Lonchura striata: one gene and its partner. The protein of the gene in region 2 purifies or fractionates together with the protein of the main gene of each other region. This does not show direct contact. Links are inferred from orthologs where the notes say so. Each region holds a gene or a part of one and is shown on either strand. Other genes may lie near its edges.

Region 1 (7,122 bases), on a different chromosome or scaffold from region 2:
CATTCTAGTATCAATTTCAATCACAGTATCAAGTGCTCTGTCTTAAATTCACAGCCACTAATCTCATGTGAGCATTAAATGTAAAACAATGTCATTTTAACAGTTAAAAAAATATTTATTCTGCCATGACAAAACTGCAGACAATTTCATAATGGGGTATGAAAATGTCTGTATTACACAAAACAGAAAAGAATAGCAATAACCAGCACCCTCTACAACCTATTGTTACCCACAGCAAGGTCCTTTTGAAATCAAAAGTAAAGACAAATCTTAACTTCTATGTGTAGACAAGCAAAACACGCAAGATGAATCAATTTTTTATGAACAAACAATGATTTAAATTTAGTTTGTTTCCACAAGAGGTGTCCTCAGCAGCTAAGAGATATTTGATTTTGACAGTGTGTAATCCCATATTTTAAACAGGATTTTGGGTTAATCCATTTGAACCTCAAAGAGTTCATATGAGACTTAAATTTCATTGAATACATTCACTCTTTCAGTTGATTAAATTATTTATGAAACAGTTTAAGGGAAATCCACTTATTCACACCAACCCCTCCTACCTTCACGGGCTTGTTTGTTTTAGATTGCTCCATCAGCCCTCTGAAAATTTCAAATTTCATTAAGACCAATAACCTCCATTAATCTAATGCATAAAGGCATCTTCCCTTCATAGAAAAATAAAAGGGATTGGACTATTTAGTGTCTCAACAGTTGAATTAGAAGGTGTTTAGAAATTCCAAGAGTTTAATTCCCACTTTAATTAAGCACTTTGGAACACGAAATCATCAATCTAGCCAAACTATGTTTATCATTAGTTGCAGATTAAACTACAGCAGGAAAACACTTTTTTTTAATAACTACATACCCATATTTTGTGATATGTATGACAATTAGCAAATTTTTACAGTTGCTTTTTTTGTTTCATGCATTTCTGTCTCAGTGTCCCATGCCCAAAATTAGCTGCTAAACACTTCAGCATTATAGTTGCCAAAATATTAGTAAAGGAATGAAGACCACCTGTAAGTTTTGCTGGTTTTTGAGCACTAGAACTTGCACAGAAACATGACAGTGCCACAATAACTGGCAGCCAGACACCTGACACCAGCAAGGGCAGTGCTCAGAGAACCATTTGGCTGCCCCGTGAGTACCCAGAACTGTGTCAACAAAAACACACGCCACTGTCACCACACATGCTGTCGGGACATTCACTTTCACCTAAGAGACTCATTATGCTACCCATGATTTAGAATGAATGTACAAAACAGTAAGATCTATTGTCACTAGAATTCATGACATTTACAAATTTGGCCATCCTACCCCAGACCTGCCGTGCAAATTTACCAGATTGTACTTCCATCAAGGGCTGTAGGCCCTTGTAGATTACAAGGCAAAAAGTAAGAAATAAGAGCAGCTGCCTTGCACAGACAGACTCATCTTCTGGGAGATGATGCCTTGTGTTAATTTAGTGCTGGATGAGAATAAACCTATGCTCTCATACTTCTCCAGTGGATCAGGCTGAATGTCAGGCAAATGACTTTGCCAAAGAAGTGCACACACTGTCTCCTCCCTGAGCAACTAAAACATTGCTCATGCATGGAATCAGTCCAGCATTTCTAAAGGCGTTTCTAACTCTACAAGACATTTTTGTTTGTTTTGTAAATTTGTCTCCATGTTTGCTCCCAGAGACCTTGCTAGATGGACCCACAATCGGTTCTGCTGCAAGACAGTTTGCTTGTATTACACTTTATGTCCCTGTACACGTTTCCCTTGCATCCCTCTGTTGACATGGTGTTGACATGTTATTGACACGGTGCTCCTCCCCACTATCTGTCCTGCAGCTCTGAGGCTGCCCCTCAACAACTCTCATAGGAAACTTCAAAACGACAGCTAGAAACAGTGTGATGTCTGGAGAGAGCAAGTCTTCTTGATTCTCAGTGGAAGCTCATCCAAGTGCGATAATGACAAGGCAAACAGCCACCTGCAGATGTTTCTGCTGGAGCAGCAGGGTAAAGCAGTCCATTTATAACGAGGAACAACCTAAGGGAAACCGTGATCCTACTGCATCATTAGCAATAAATTAGAACACCTAAGGGCAACGCGTTTATGAGATGAAAAAGTGTTACCTTTGCCATCTTTACAGCTGAAAGAAATCGAGGCATAAAAGATCCCTGATACATGTCTGAAGTCTAACAGTACCTGTGGGCTAGTTCTGAACTACCCTATAAATTTCCCACAAGTTTCTCCACGGCTCCCACCGCCTGCACGCCCGAGAACGCCGATGCTGACGCTGCGGCAGCACGGGAGCCCGCTCGGTGTCCGAGCGCCCCGAGGCAGCGCTCCCGCCGCGGCCCAGCAGAGCCGCGGCCTCCGGGGAGCTCCAACGCCGTGCGCAGAAAGCGAAACACCCTTCCCCGGCAGGCTTCGCTACGCCTCGCACAGCTCGTTAAGCCCTTCACCCAGCGCAGAGGGCGAGGCTGCCGCCGCACACAAAGCCCCGAGACCCCCTCCGACATCAGGCACAAGCCTGGAATCAGCCCCTTCCCCCCGGGCACGGCGGGGGCAGGGGGACGCGGAGCCCTGCCCGCCTCCTCACCGACCGCCCCCGCCCCATCCCCACCCCGGCCGCCTCCTCACCAGCCGGTCTCGTCCTCATCGCAGCCGGCCAGCCGCTCCAGCTCCTCCGGCCTGAGCACCGCCGCGTCGTCCAGCAGGCCGTTGCCGCCGCTGCCGCCATCGCCGCCGCCGGGCTCCTCGGGCAGCGAACGCCGGGCGGCGGCCCTGGGGCTGAGACAGCGGCCGTCGGGCGACGGGGAGGCGGCGGGCGGCGGCGAGGAGGGCCCGGCGCTCGGCAGGCGCTTGGGGCTGGCGGGGGCGGCGGGCAGGGCGCCGTGGCGGCTGCGAAGCTGTTCGTTCTGCTTCTCGAGCTTCTTCACCAGCTCCTGAAGCTTCCGCACCTCCGCGTCCGCGTTCACGCCCGAGCCCACATCCTCCATGGCGGCCGGCGGCGGCTGCGCGGGGAGAGGCGGCCGCGCCGCCCCGTCTACGCGGCCGGGCGGCCGGCGGCGGGGCGGGCCGGGGCGGGGCGGGGCGCAGGACGCACATCCGCCGCCGCCATGGCACCGCCTGCCGCGCTGCCGCCGGAACCGCCGGGCCTCGCCCCGCCTTCTGCCCGGGCCGCGCTGCGCAGGACGGAGGGGCACGGCACGGCACGGCACGGCACGGCACGGCACGGCACGGCACGGCACGGCGTGCCATGGCCGGCCATGGCCGAGCATGGCGCGGCTCGCGGCCCCGGCAGCGGGAGGCCGTGACTCGGCCCCGCCTGGGGCCGGCCGAGGGGCCCTTGCGGTGGGCTCCCTCCTGAGGGAGCGGCGCGGCCGGGCTGGCCTGGCCTCCCGTGTCTTGGGCATCACAGGTCCCAGGCAGGAGTTGTAGGGAAAGCCCGGAATACCTTCCAAAACCGTTCAGAAGCTCTAAAGAATACAAGGCGTGCTCATGGTCCAAAGCGTAGGTGATAGTGTTGGCCCTATTGTGCATGACGGATGTGTGAACCAAACATCCTTTGAGTCTACGTGTATAAATACATGCATATTCATTTAAAGGTTGTGGCGATTTTGCCTTCCATAGCAAAACTTACACCTTACACTTAATTCCTTTAAGTGTAAGGAATTAGTGGGGCTTGGGGATTTGTCGCAGAATCACAGGGTGGATAATGTTGGAAGGGACCACAGTTGTTGATCTGGTCCAACCTCCCTGCTCAAGCGGGGTCATTCTAGAGCTCAGGGCATACAATTGTGTTCACTGTGCAATGTGTTCCAGTAAAGAAGTTTTTCATATTCAGGTGGGACTTCCTGTGCATTGCTTTCTGCCCATTGCCTCCTGTCCTATTTCTTGGGATGTTTTATGTCTTGTGACAAGTTGTCTCCAAATTTCATTGGCTGGATTGTGGGGATGCTGTTTGTTCCCTGGTCCACTGAAGACAGTGTCCTTAGTGCCATCCTTTCACAATTTTTTTCCTCTTGTTATGTTCCATCTACTCGCCAGCTTCATTTTGGAGCCTGCTATAGCTGAGGAGAGGAAGAACACCAGCAAGTGGGCCAGAGAATAGCTGGAGTCTGCAGGGGATGATACCACTGTGAGCAGTTTTTACCAGGCTCAAGGAAGGGAAGAAGGAAAATAAAGACTGGGTTGCTCAGACCTGCAGGATGTGCTGAGAAGTTGCAAAGTTTAGGGGCATCTAATGGTACACAATCTGGGTTGTGTTAGGTATAGTGCATGGACTCTTGGCATGTTTAGACTGCCAGGCATGAGTTTACAGCATCCTTACAAGACTGGGTCACTTCCTTGCCTTACACAACACTCTCCCCTTATACATTGAAAGATTACATTCTCTGTATGTACAACATTATTTGAGGGTTTATTCTGGGGTGGTTTTGCATTGTTACTGTTAGCTTCTCACCAGAATCCAGGCCTTTGATCCATATATGGAATTTATGTCATTGTTTTCCCAAAACAATTATCACCTTAAGTGTTTAACTGTATCAAAAGACACCAGGGCTGGTATCTTTCAACAAAGCAATTTAATCACTCTTATGGTAATGTCTTTGTTATCTGAAAGTGAAACAAACTTTTATCAGTAGCAGATTTTGCTACAGATTTTGTATAATTCTCACAGCTATAAAACTACTAAGCACTTTTGGCCCATGAGCTGAGACCTTTGGCACTCTGCTCACTGACACCACGTTAATGACTATCATAACTCCTTAGAGATTGGTCTGTAAGTCAGTTTGTAAATCCAGCTTGTTCTTTATGTCTGTATGATATGGTACAAAGTCAAGTGCCTTAAGGGAATACAGATATATTCTGTGAGAACAGTTACTTATCAACAGAATTTACAATCCTCCAAAAGGCCAGGGAAACTATTATATAAAGGTTTTTTACATTAAGGTTCTTCCAGGACTCTGACACTTACAGTGACACTGCTGACGATTCAGTGGTTAGTGGGTCTTAAACTATGCAGGGAAGTTTATTCCAAATTAGAACATCTATATCAGGACCACACAATATAACTTCTTTATTCTTCTATAACAACCCTCAGGCCAAACATCAGTGGCACAAGAAACCCTCAGTCACTTCAATTAATCATGCTTTTATGGTAACAACAGGAGGAGTTTAATCCTTTCTATAGTGCAACTACTGGGATCAGGATGGGACTGGTGGCTCGATCTGGAAGTGTGACAGAGTGAAGTGGGGCTGTGACAAAGGGCTCTGCCAGGAGATGTAGACAGGCAGTGCAGTGGAGAGCCAGGACCACAGAGACGCAGGCTCCTGGGAGCTGCTGCCAACACTGCAGCTGTTCCTGGTGATTCTGTCATGTTTAGGGGTCTCCTCTGTTAAGTAATGGGGCAGCTCTGAGAACTCTTTAGTTATCAGTGCACTGCCTGCATCCTGCTCTACTCCTCTCCCTCCTCATCTCCTCTACTTCCTTCTCCCTTCCTCTTCTCCCAGTTCATTTAATGGTCTGTTTGTCCCCCAGATTTCTTACTCCAACCTTCTGTCCCCTGCTGACACCATTACTTTGCTGTCAGCAGCTGTAGCAATTTTTTCTCCTCACAAGACCCACTCCCTGCAGGTGTGTACAGACAAAGGGGGAGGAAAGTGAGAAAAAAGTAGCAGAAAAAAGTTTCAGAACTGCTGAATTATCTGCTATTTTTACAAAGAGTACGAGAAGTAGAAATGAATGGAGTCACTGCTTAATAGTCACCATAGACTGTGCTTTGAATAGCAGCAATCATGATTTCGCTTTCTCATTCATTCTTGTGCTGTGAGTACCCTTCTCATGTGCTGGGAACTGAAGAGCAGCAAGTCTTGGTCCATAAGCTTCCTATGAAATATCAGGTCAATAATAGGCTTCCACGACTTTCTTGTTGCTCAGATTCCAGGCTTGCACTGGCCAGATGTGAGACCACACCCAAGCAGAGGCCCCTGGGTGACTATACAGAAATAGTAATAATTGATGCTAATGCCACAAAAATGAAACCTTTCCACTGCATCACAAGAGCAAGAGAAATTCCTCTGTGTGTGAAATTAGATCTGTTGCAGATTTTTTTGTGAACAGCTGCGATTGCACCCACACTGTGTTTTTCCTTTTCACTGAGAAGGAGGAAAAAAGCAGTCTTTCCACAGTACTATTTTCCAGATCTCAGGACATGCATGGGTGCTTGTCTTGCCTGACTTGGGGCAGGTTCTAAACTCACGAGATGAAAGGAAATGAGGAGCAGTCTCTCCAAAGGAAAGGAAGTCTGTGCAAGGCTGTCATGTCACTCAAATAATTCAACACACCTTTTCTGATGAGTGGCTCCTAGAAGAAGGCCACCAGGAGCCTTGTTTTGCTGACCTTTGAGCTCCCTAGCATGGACAGCCCTATGGCTGGTTCTCACAGCAGTGATCTGCTGAATATTTTTCTTTACATCTGTCAAAACTGTTAGAATCTGACTTTGAAATCTTGATTTCACTTGTCACCTGGGAGGACAATCCCTCAGGGGGAATACTACATGAAGATGGGCAGATGCATGGTGGGAAGTTAACATTTGTTGTAAATATTTAACTTGATGCCTGGAAAACCGGACTGGTTTTTAAGCAGCTTTTTTTATTCTCCTGCAGAAGGCTTGTTGCCTGCCAGCCTTCTCAAAGGAGGTGTTCAACAGGCCCACACATGTTTGTGTTAGGCAGTGTTTAGCTAAACCTTTGACAAAATATAAAGTATTGTTTATCATTATAATATATGGCATGTGCAGACAATGAATACTGAGTGGAAGAAGCATGTTCCTGTCATAATATGTTCCTTTCAAAATTAAAGTCAGAACTATTACTCTGGTTCTACTAAAAGAACCAACATTGTAACTTCAGTTATTTTTAAATATACCTCTGAGTATATCAGGCTCTTCAGTGGTGAGACGACAAGTTTAGCCCTTTGGATTGGTGTTTGAAAACTAAAAAATGCAGTCATTGTCTCTGCACACATCTTCAGGACCCATCCCCTAAAAGCTTTAAACAGCAGTGAGGTGTGCATAAATACACTTTAAAAGTCTTTATAAAAATTTTTACAAAGTGTTTTCT
Region 2 (7,871 bases):
TGCATGAAGACGGATACGGTCTCTATCCAGGCCAGTTCTGGTTCACTGGATGACACTGAAACTGAGCAGCTGCTACAGGAAGAACAGTCTGAATGCAGCAGTGTTAACACAGCAGCAGCCACTCCTGAGCGGAGGGGCTCACTCCCAGACACAGGCTGGAAACACCAACGCAAGCCCTCCACAGAGAGCGAGGTCTAAAGTACAAGTGGCTTTGGAAACAGTTGCACCCTCCCTACCCTCTGCTCTGCACAAAAAAGACAGGACTCTGCCTGCCTGGCAAGGAAGGGCACAGAGATCAGCCTCTCTTACGAGGGGCCTGAGACTGGGACTGCCTTTCAGCATGGAGCTTCGGCAGCTGTGTTGTTGTGTTTGGAGAAGGAGGATGGGTGGGTTGGTGGAAACCCAGAGACCCTTTTGACTCATTTTCACTGTCTGTGGTTTATTTATATGTTCCCTTTTCCTGGAAGTTGCCACATTAACTTCTGCAGCGACTCGTCTGGCCTGAGTCTGGTTGGGAGTTTCTGTTCCCTGGCAATCTGCAAGTCCTATGCCATCCAGCCCCTGGTCAATGCCCATGAAGAGAGCAGAGCTGCCTCATTGCTGGCTCCTGGTCACAGAAGTACTCCATGTCATTCCAGCACTAGCAGCACTCTTTGAGGCTTTGTGTTGAGGCGTCTCTGACATGAGAGAGGTCTTGGTATAGATGGGATATGCTTTGGGGCTCAAGAGGACACTGACACAGCATCAGGTCACCTTGTAAAGGCGTAAAGAGAATAACCAGGACTCACTTAATGAGAGCCTCACTGCTTACTTTCATATCTGCTACTAAAAACTTTAAGGAATGCTCAGATTGGAGCACTGTGTCTGTTGCTGGCAGTGGACACTGCTCTTATTCTCCCCTTTCCTGTTAAAACATGTTTCTACTCTGGAAAAACAAGAGTCAGCAAATGCCCCTTTCAGAATTGTTCCCTGAGTACTGGAGTCCTAGTGCTGAACTTGAGACAAGAAGAAACTAGTGTTTTACTTAGCTCTATAGAGCTAATGGGGGGAAATGGATCTCAGCAAGACCTATATTTTACTCATCTTTGCATAACTGATATATAAAAAAAGAAAAAGAAAATTTGCTAGGTCCCCACTAGTCCCAATTCTGCAAGGTCCCAATTATTTTAGCCTTTAGGACCTTTGATTACCATAATAAGGGAAAAGAGAAAATTCCTAGGTCGAGTCTTTCCCAGGGGAATGCTCAGTGCTGACAGTTAGGAACTGCTTTATTACTAGGCTGAGCCCATTTGACCTAGAATGGGAGACAATAATCAGGGAGCTGCAAGGACCATTTTAAGTAGTTGTTTATCAGATAGAATTGCACTTTAAGTTCTTCTGTTACCACTAAATAGCTCTCCTTGCCAAATAATTTTTCCCATCAGCTGCATGAGCTTCAGTTGTTCTCTGACCTCCAAGACTCTTACCCTTTAGAGAATGTCATTCTACCTTTGCAGCCAAAACCCGGCAACATCTGGAGCTGGGTCTTGCATGCTCCCAATGACTATTGCCACCTCTTCATACTCTCTTGTCATCTGTTTGTTCAAAAAGAAGAAAGATAAAATATTGCTTGACATTTCTTCAAAAACAAAATTTATATTAACCCCTCAAATCATATGGTATAATATTTACTATTAAGTCAGATCCTTGGAAGCAGAATTTCCCAGTGAAGAATTTCTCACTGCAAACTTTGTAACCTCTTTTATCTCATGGAAAGAGGTCAAGTACATTCCCATCCATGGTGTAAAGAGAGCGAAACATACACTGGGGTATGGTTCAGAGGTGGGGGGAGGGTACATCTCCCATGCAATATCTTTTTCAGCTGATTAAAAAGGAGAATCATCCTACTCTGCTCAAACCTTGTTTATATGCTAACAGGCCTGCTACCCCTGAAAAACATAGCAGTTTGCCTGTACTTTTCACAGCAGAGGTAGCTTTGTAGACAGGGGAAGGTTGCAGCTTCGACCTGGCTAGGTGGCTTGAGACTCTGTCCCTAACTGCACCATTGGGCTGACTGGTGTATATTCCTGTGGAAAATGAACTGGAGCTAAGGTTTGGGTTTCCCTGTGTTATTGTGGGACTCTTCCCTACTCCCAGAGGGATTTACTTTTATTTTTTTTTAATTAGATTTTTATTTAATTATTTATTTGTTTGACTCCAGCCTTGGAAGCATTGATTTTGTTGGGCAGAGGCACTTTTGGGTTGAGGTGTGGACTTGACTGGGAACTGAGAAAGGAGTGCATATCACTGACAATGGGCCCTGCCCACCTAAGCCACTTCACGCAGGGACAACACCAGAGGGCTCAAGCATAAGCAGAAGAATCAATTTGAGCAGAAACCATGTGTTGGGGCAGGGGCATCAGGGCTGGGAGTGGGGAGATTGGGGAGGAAAGCTCTGACCTGTAGGAGAGCTGGGTTTCTTTGGGTTTTGGAATGGGTTGCTTATGTGACCATGCACCAAAATCCTGAGGTGGGACAGGGGTGAAGGGAAACATCTGCCCAGACCTGTCACTTAAGATTAAGTCAGCCTGTCAGAGTAATTGCTGTTCAAGTCACAAGTGTGGAAGGGAAAGGAAAAATAGTCAGTCTTTTCAACAACTCATGGTGTTTGTGATCTCCACCCTGATCAATATTCTCTGCTGTTTCTTAGGAGACACCCTGTGCACTCCAGCCTAACAACTATTCATAACTGCTCTCTAATCCCTTCCTAAAATGATTATGGTGAAAAGGAGCAATAAAATGTCACACAGCCTCTTCTACCAGTGAGGTGGGCAGAAATTTGTGTCTTTTTTCTAGAGACAGCCCCAGTGAGATGCTGCCTTGGGGATGCATCGTGGTTCCCCAGTCTGGGGAAGAGAAGACCCTCGTTGCACTTAGGATGTTAAGAATGTAGAAAGGCTACTGGAGGAAGATCTCTTGAGCACTGATTTACTGTGTAAAAAGCAAACCTCTTTCCTGTCTGTCCTGAGCTAACGTCAGTGATTTCCATGTGTTCCTGTGTAATGGTTTTAACGTTACTCACTGGAGACATTGGATTTTCTGGAGTTATTTAACCACTGTGTTCAATATTTTAGGGGTTGATGATAATTTAATATAAATTTAGCTTTTCTTAACCACTCTGCCTGGCTTCTGGTTGTGAATCATGCATGTTATTTGGACTCTCCTTTGAATGAGGAACTCCTAAACCTGTTCAGACAGAACCTCAGCTTTGCTTCATTTCAGAGGAGCAAGAAGGTAGGAACAGATTTAGGTTCTTAGAAGCGTGATTGTAGCACACACTGTACCCCTATGATTTTGAATCAAGGGCCCAAGATCCTTTCACACACATAATACCTCTCACTCTGCCCCACCTTGCTTTTTCCTCCCCCTCTTTAACATGGCGACAGAAGGGGCTGTTCGTTTTGGCATGTACTAGAACTGTAGACATCTCAAGCCTCTGCTTCAGAACAAAATTCTGAAGAGCTGTTTTTCTTACTGTAGGGAGTGTTTATTTAAGTTCCTGTTGCCTTTATTTATAACCAAGAGTTTAAATAGTGTAAAAAGCTGAGTAATGAATGAAACATCACTAATAACTGACACTGCAGTACTAGTGACAATCTTGTAACACATTCTGTCCCTTTCTGATGAAAGAACTACCTAAAACAATTAAAACAACTGTATTTCTGCTCATTTCATAATTGAAGCACTGTGCAGAAGCCATTTCAGTCAGTTCATGAAAAAATTGCCTGACTTCCAAAAAATTGATGGTGCTCACGTGGCCATGGTGGTGAGAAGGCAGTGTAAGATTAACTGCAGTTGTGTGCATGGCATTCCGATGTCCCTTTGTCTTCTATTCTTATCACCCATAAAAATTGTTCCTTCAATTTTTTAAGCTGAAGTGAAGAAACAGGAGAGAAAACACACTGTGCTCCAAAAAAGTTCACAGAATAGGTCACGGTGGAGAGGACACTGTGGGTCACCTGAGCCAACCTCCCTGATAAAGCAGGGTCACCCCACAGTACACGGCACAGGATAGTGCCCAGATAAATCCTGTGATTTCCAGTGAGGGAGACTCCACAACTTCTCTGGGCCGTCTTGCGGTGCACAGTTACCCACACAGGAAAGAAGTTCCTCCTATTCAAGTGGGATTTCCTGTGCATCACTTTCTGCCCTTTTCCTCTTGCTCTGTTGCTGGGCTCCACCGAGCAGAGCCTGGCTCCATCCTGTCAGCCTCTCTTCAGATACTGACAGACATTGATGAGGTCCCCTCTCAGCCGTTTCTTGAGTTGCTGCTTTGCAAACTCACTGACCATAGGAAAGAAGAGAAGGTCCATTCCTCTGTAACAGGATCTTCCTCAAAGCCGAATCCATCAGCTCCGAGATGCTTTAGTCCATTGCCAGCGGGTCCCGCAGCGTCACCCGGCTGCCTTAGGACCTGCGCCTCTCGCCAGGTGCTGCTCCGGCCGTAGAGGGCCCGGCAGCCCCATAGTGCTGCCTCCCTGGGGACACGGCGGCGGCCGAGAGAGCGGGCGGGCACGCCTCCGTAGTTCCCGAGCGGGGTGCGCCCGGGCCGCTGCCGCTGGAGGCCGCCCCCGGTCCCGGCGCTGCGCTCCCCCCGCCCCGGCGCTGCGCTCCCCCGGTCCCGGCGCTGCGCTCCCCCCGCCCCGGCGCTGCGCGCTCCCCCCGCCCCGGCGCTGCGCGCTCCCCCCGCCCCGGCGCTGCGCGCTCCCCCCGCCCCGGCGCTGCGCTCCCCCCGCCCCGGCGCCGTCTCGGGAGCGCGCGGAGAGCACGCGCTGCGGCTGCCGGATTCAAACGGGCCAATAAGAGGCGCGGGCGGCAGCGCAGGCGGGGCTGGCTGCGGCCAATGGGTGCGGCGGACACTGGGAGGTGCGGGCGGTGCTGGCGATTTCAAACCCCGCCGAGCAGCCGCCGGACCGTCACCGGCCCGACCCCCCGGGCCCAGGGGAGACCCCGCTGTCCTCGTTCCTTCCCCGGTGAGCTCGGGCCCTATTCCGTTCGCTGTCCGCGCCCGTGGGAGGGCGGCTAGGCCTTCCTCCGCCGCCAGGCCCGAGCCTCGCGGTCTCTCCCGGGGAGCGAGGGCAGGCGCAGTCCCTGTGGTGCGACATCTCCCCACGGGGATGGCCCGCGGGCTGCGGCGGCATCCTCCCGCAGAGCCCGGCGGCGTGAGGGTCGCGGCTGGTAGCGGCGGGAGGCCGCGGCCTGCGCCGCGCCGCGGAGGTGCGGCTCGCTCAGGCCGCCCGCCAGCCGCGGGGCGATGGGGCCGGTGGCGGCCGCGGGCTCGGCGCCTCCGTCCGTTGGGGCCTGGGGCTGCCGAGGGCGGCCTTCCGTGGGAGCCGGCCGGGGCAGTGGGCCCGGGAGCCGTCGGGGGAACCGGGCACCCCTTAAGGGAAATGCGGACCGGGCGCCGTCTGTCCCCTGAGGCTGCGTGCAGGATCGGTTCCCCCTCTAGAATGTCCGAAGGAAAACGTTCTCTGGGTGATTGTAGTCCTAACAGCAAAGGCGCGAGCTCGTGTCCTATTTCTGCAGCTCTGTTGGTGCGTGCGAGTGTTAAGATTGCCAGAGCCCCTCACTAGGAGATGCTCCTGTTGAATCCTCTCTAGTATATGCTGGCTAGAAGTGTGTGTACCATGTTTCTGCACACACACCTTTCCCGCATTTCATTTGATTTTGTTTCTGAAACAGACAGTGTTATGATTCTTCCGAAGACAGTATTTTTCAGGCTGGTGTGCAGAGGGTTTTGCTCCTGAATCTGGTGCTCTGTCAGTGGCAGACTGGCACTTTTTGGGTCGGAAGACAGGAAGTTGAGGAATGGTACTTCTATGTGCCTTAAACAAACCGGGATTCTGTTCTAAGAATAAAAATTTTTAAAAACAATATGTGCTACAGTCTTCTAACTGATTTGGGTTTGTTGTGTGTAATATATCTGATCATTCTGCGGTTTTTAACTTTTTGCTGATTTTAGTGTTTGATTTTTTGCTATTTCTGCTGAACTGCAGTGCAGTTCAAGTTGCCTTGTGCATGTGAGAAGGGCATGAGTAGTTGCTGGGATGTTGAGCTAGCAGCAATGGGAGCCCTTCCTAATGTATTACTTGTGTATCAAAGAAAGAGTTGCTATAGGCTTTCAGTGAATCTATTAGTTTGAACCTGTAAAGCTGCTTAGTTCAGAATGCATGGAGTCTCGAGTATGGGAGTATTCTAATGGTCTACTCACAAAAGTCTGTTGCTAAAACTTTGAGAAAGGTTCACCTCAGGAGATGGAAGGATTTGAGTGCAGATTGCCTATATACTGTTGACCCTTTAGTGTCCAACATGAGATCAGTTGATTGTACAAAATTTAGAATTTGGTTTGGTCTTCTTGCCTCAGGCTTGGCCTTTCTTTGAACTTTGCTGTTTTGATAGCTTCCCCCCATATTGAACTTACTAATTCACTGTTTGGTTTTTTTTCTACTCCAAGAATTCTGATAGGGCTAAGCCTTATAAGCAACATTGAGAGAGTGATATATGAAAGTAGAATTGCTGGCAAATGGCCTTCAGGTAAAACAGACTATTTCTGAACAAATGGTTGCAGATGTAGTGAAAGTAATTCTCAAAACCACAAAGTTGGATAGATTAACTAGGTGACCTGTTCTAGGAAAAATTATGTGATGACTTGACAAAAATAAATTTGAATTTTAGAAGTATGGGAGTTATTCAGACTGCTTTAGATCTGTATTGATGGACAGTTTCTCCCTTGGTATTGTAATATGAAAAAAGGGAATGCATGGTGATGGAACATGATTCCTGGTTCTTGTACACATAGGACTTGTATTTTGTCAGACTTAACTTTCATGCTGGCTCTTGCCCTTCCCCTTGTATGGGCCAGTTATGTAAGCTGTGCCTCTGCCTCTGAAAACTTGGTCTGCCACAGTGGGTCTGTGCTCTCATATCAGAGTCTACTAAAATGGGAATGTATTTCATAGTCAATTTCAGTGTAATGTTATAAATTGCTTCACTCTGTGTGTTTGGTGATAAATTACAAAGCAACTTAGCATGTTGTATGCTCCTTCAGTCAACCTTTTCTCTTTTTTTGCTACCCAGTTGTCATCTGCAGCACTTCTGTTTGCCCCTTCTTATCACTTACACACATCTTGAACAGTGCATCCAATTAGAAACTGCTATGAATGTTTTGTGGAGTGGGGATAGCTATCTTAATTACCTAATTTGGAGGATTTTGTTGTGTAGGATGCATGACTGGAAAGACACTTGAGAGATGTAAATTCTTGCAAACCTTTAATTAAGGTTTTCAAAATCATGGTCAGTGTTCATCTGCTTCCCTTTTTTCCGTTCCTACCTCTCCTCGTCCCACACTACCAGCAGCTCTCCTTATATGGTTTATAAAAGAAATATATAAACTTGTATTGCTAATCTGTTTGTAAACTATTTAATGTAAATGGTTTGTCAAGTCTGCCAGAGTAGGATGGCATTAAAGTCATTTGCATCTGTAGCAGAGTGGTTGGTTCAAGACAACATAGTCCAAGACTAAGATGGTGTTGCTTTGCTGATGCTTTGTTGTAGACTGTTCCCAGTGGTTCCTGTTATATGGGTGGAGTTCTGAAGTGACATTAAAAAGCCTTGTACCCTTTTGTTTAAACTAAATATTGCCTTGCACTGGGCAGTGTTGCTCTGGCTTGTTTGAATAAAGAGTCTCTTGACCTGAGCACTTGTACATTGTCTGGGGTTGTCTATGACAGCTCGATTGCTGCAAATGTCAGATGTTGAAAAGCAGAAGTAGAGTGAGGTGGTAGGAAATGTAACTTGGACAATTATTCAGTGGGAAGCGTGGCTGGTGCTGG

The links.
Region 1: the proteins of CKAP5 (region 2) and SLAIN2 purify together in Homo sapiens (affinity purification with mass spectrometry; 4 studies listed by BioGRID and IntAct, counting the BioPlex papers as one, with this or other methods). This does not show direct contact. The link is inferred for Lonchura striata from reciprocal best matches to the Homo sapiens genes CKAP5 and SLAIN2.

The regions. Positions count from the first base shown.
Region 1 is NC_134606.1:25,852,011-25,859,132, reverse strand, and holds the start of SLAIN2 (SLAIN motif-containing protein 2), read right to left. Parts: upstream 3,012-7,122; 5' UTR 2,997-3,011; coding exon 2,638-2,996; intron 1-2,637.
Region 2 is NC_134608.1:38,861,017-38,868,887, reverse strand, and holds the start of CKAP5 (cytoskeleton-associated protein 5), read left to right. Parts: upstream 1-4,869; 5' UTR 4,870-5,012; intron 5,013-7,871. Other genes in the region: LRP4 (low-density lipoprotein receptor-related protein 4), read left to right, coding at 1-198. UniProt on the Homo sapiens protein: Binds to the plus end of microtubules and regulates microtubule dynamics and microtubule organization. Acts as a processive microtubule polymerase. Promotes cytoplasmic microtubule nucleation and elongation. Plays a major role in organizing spindle poles.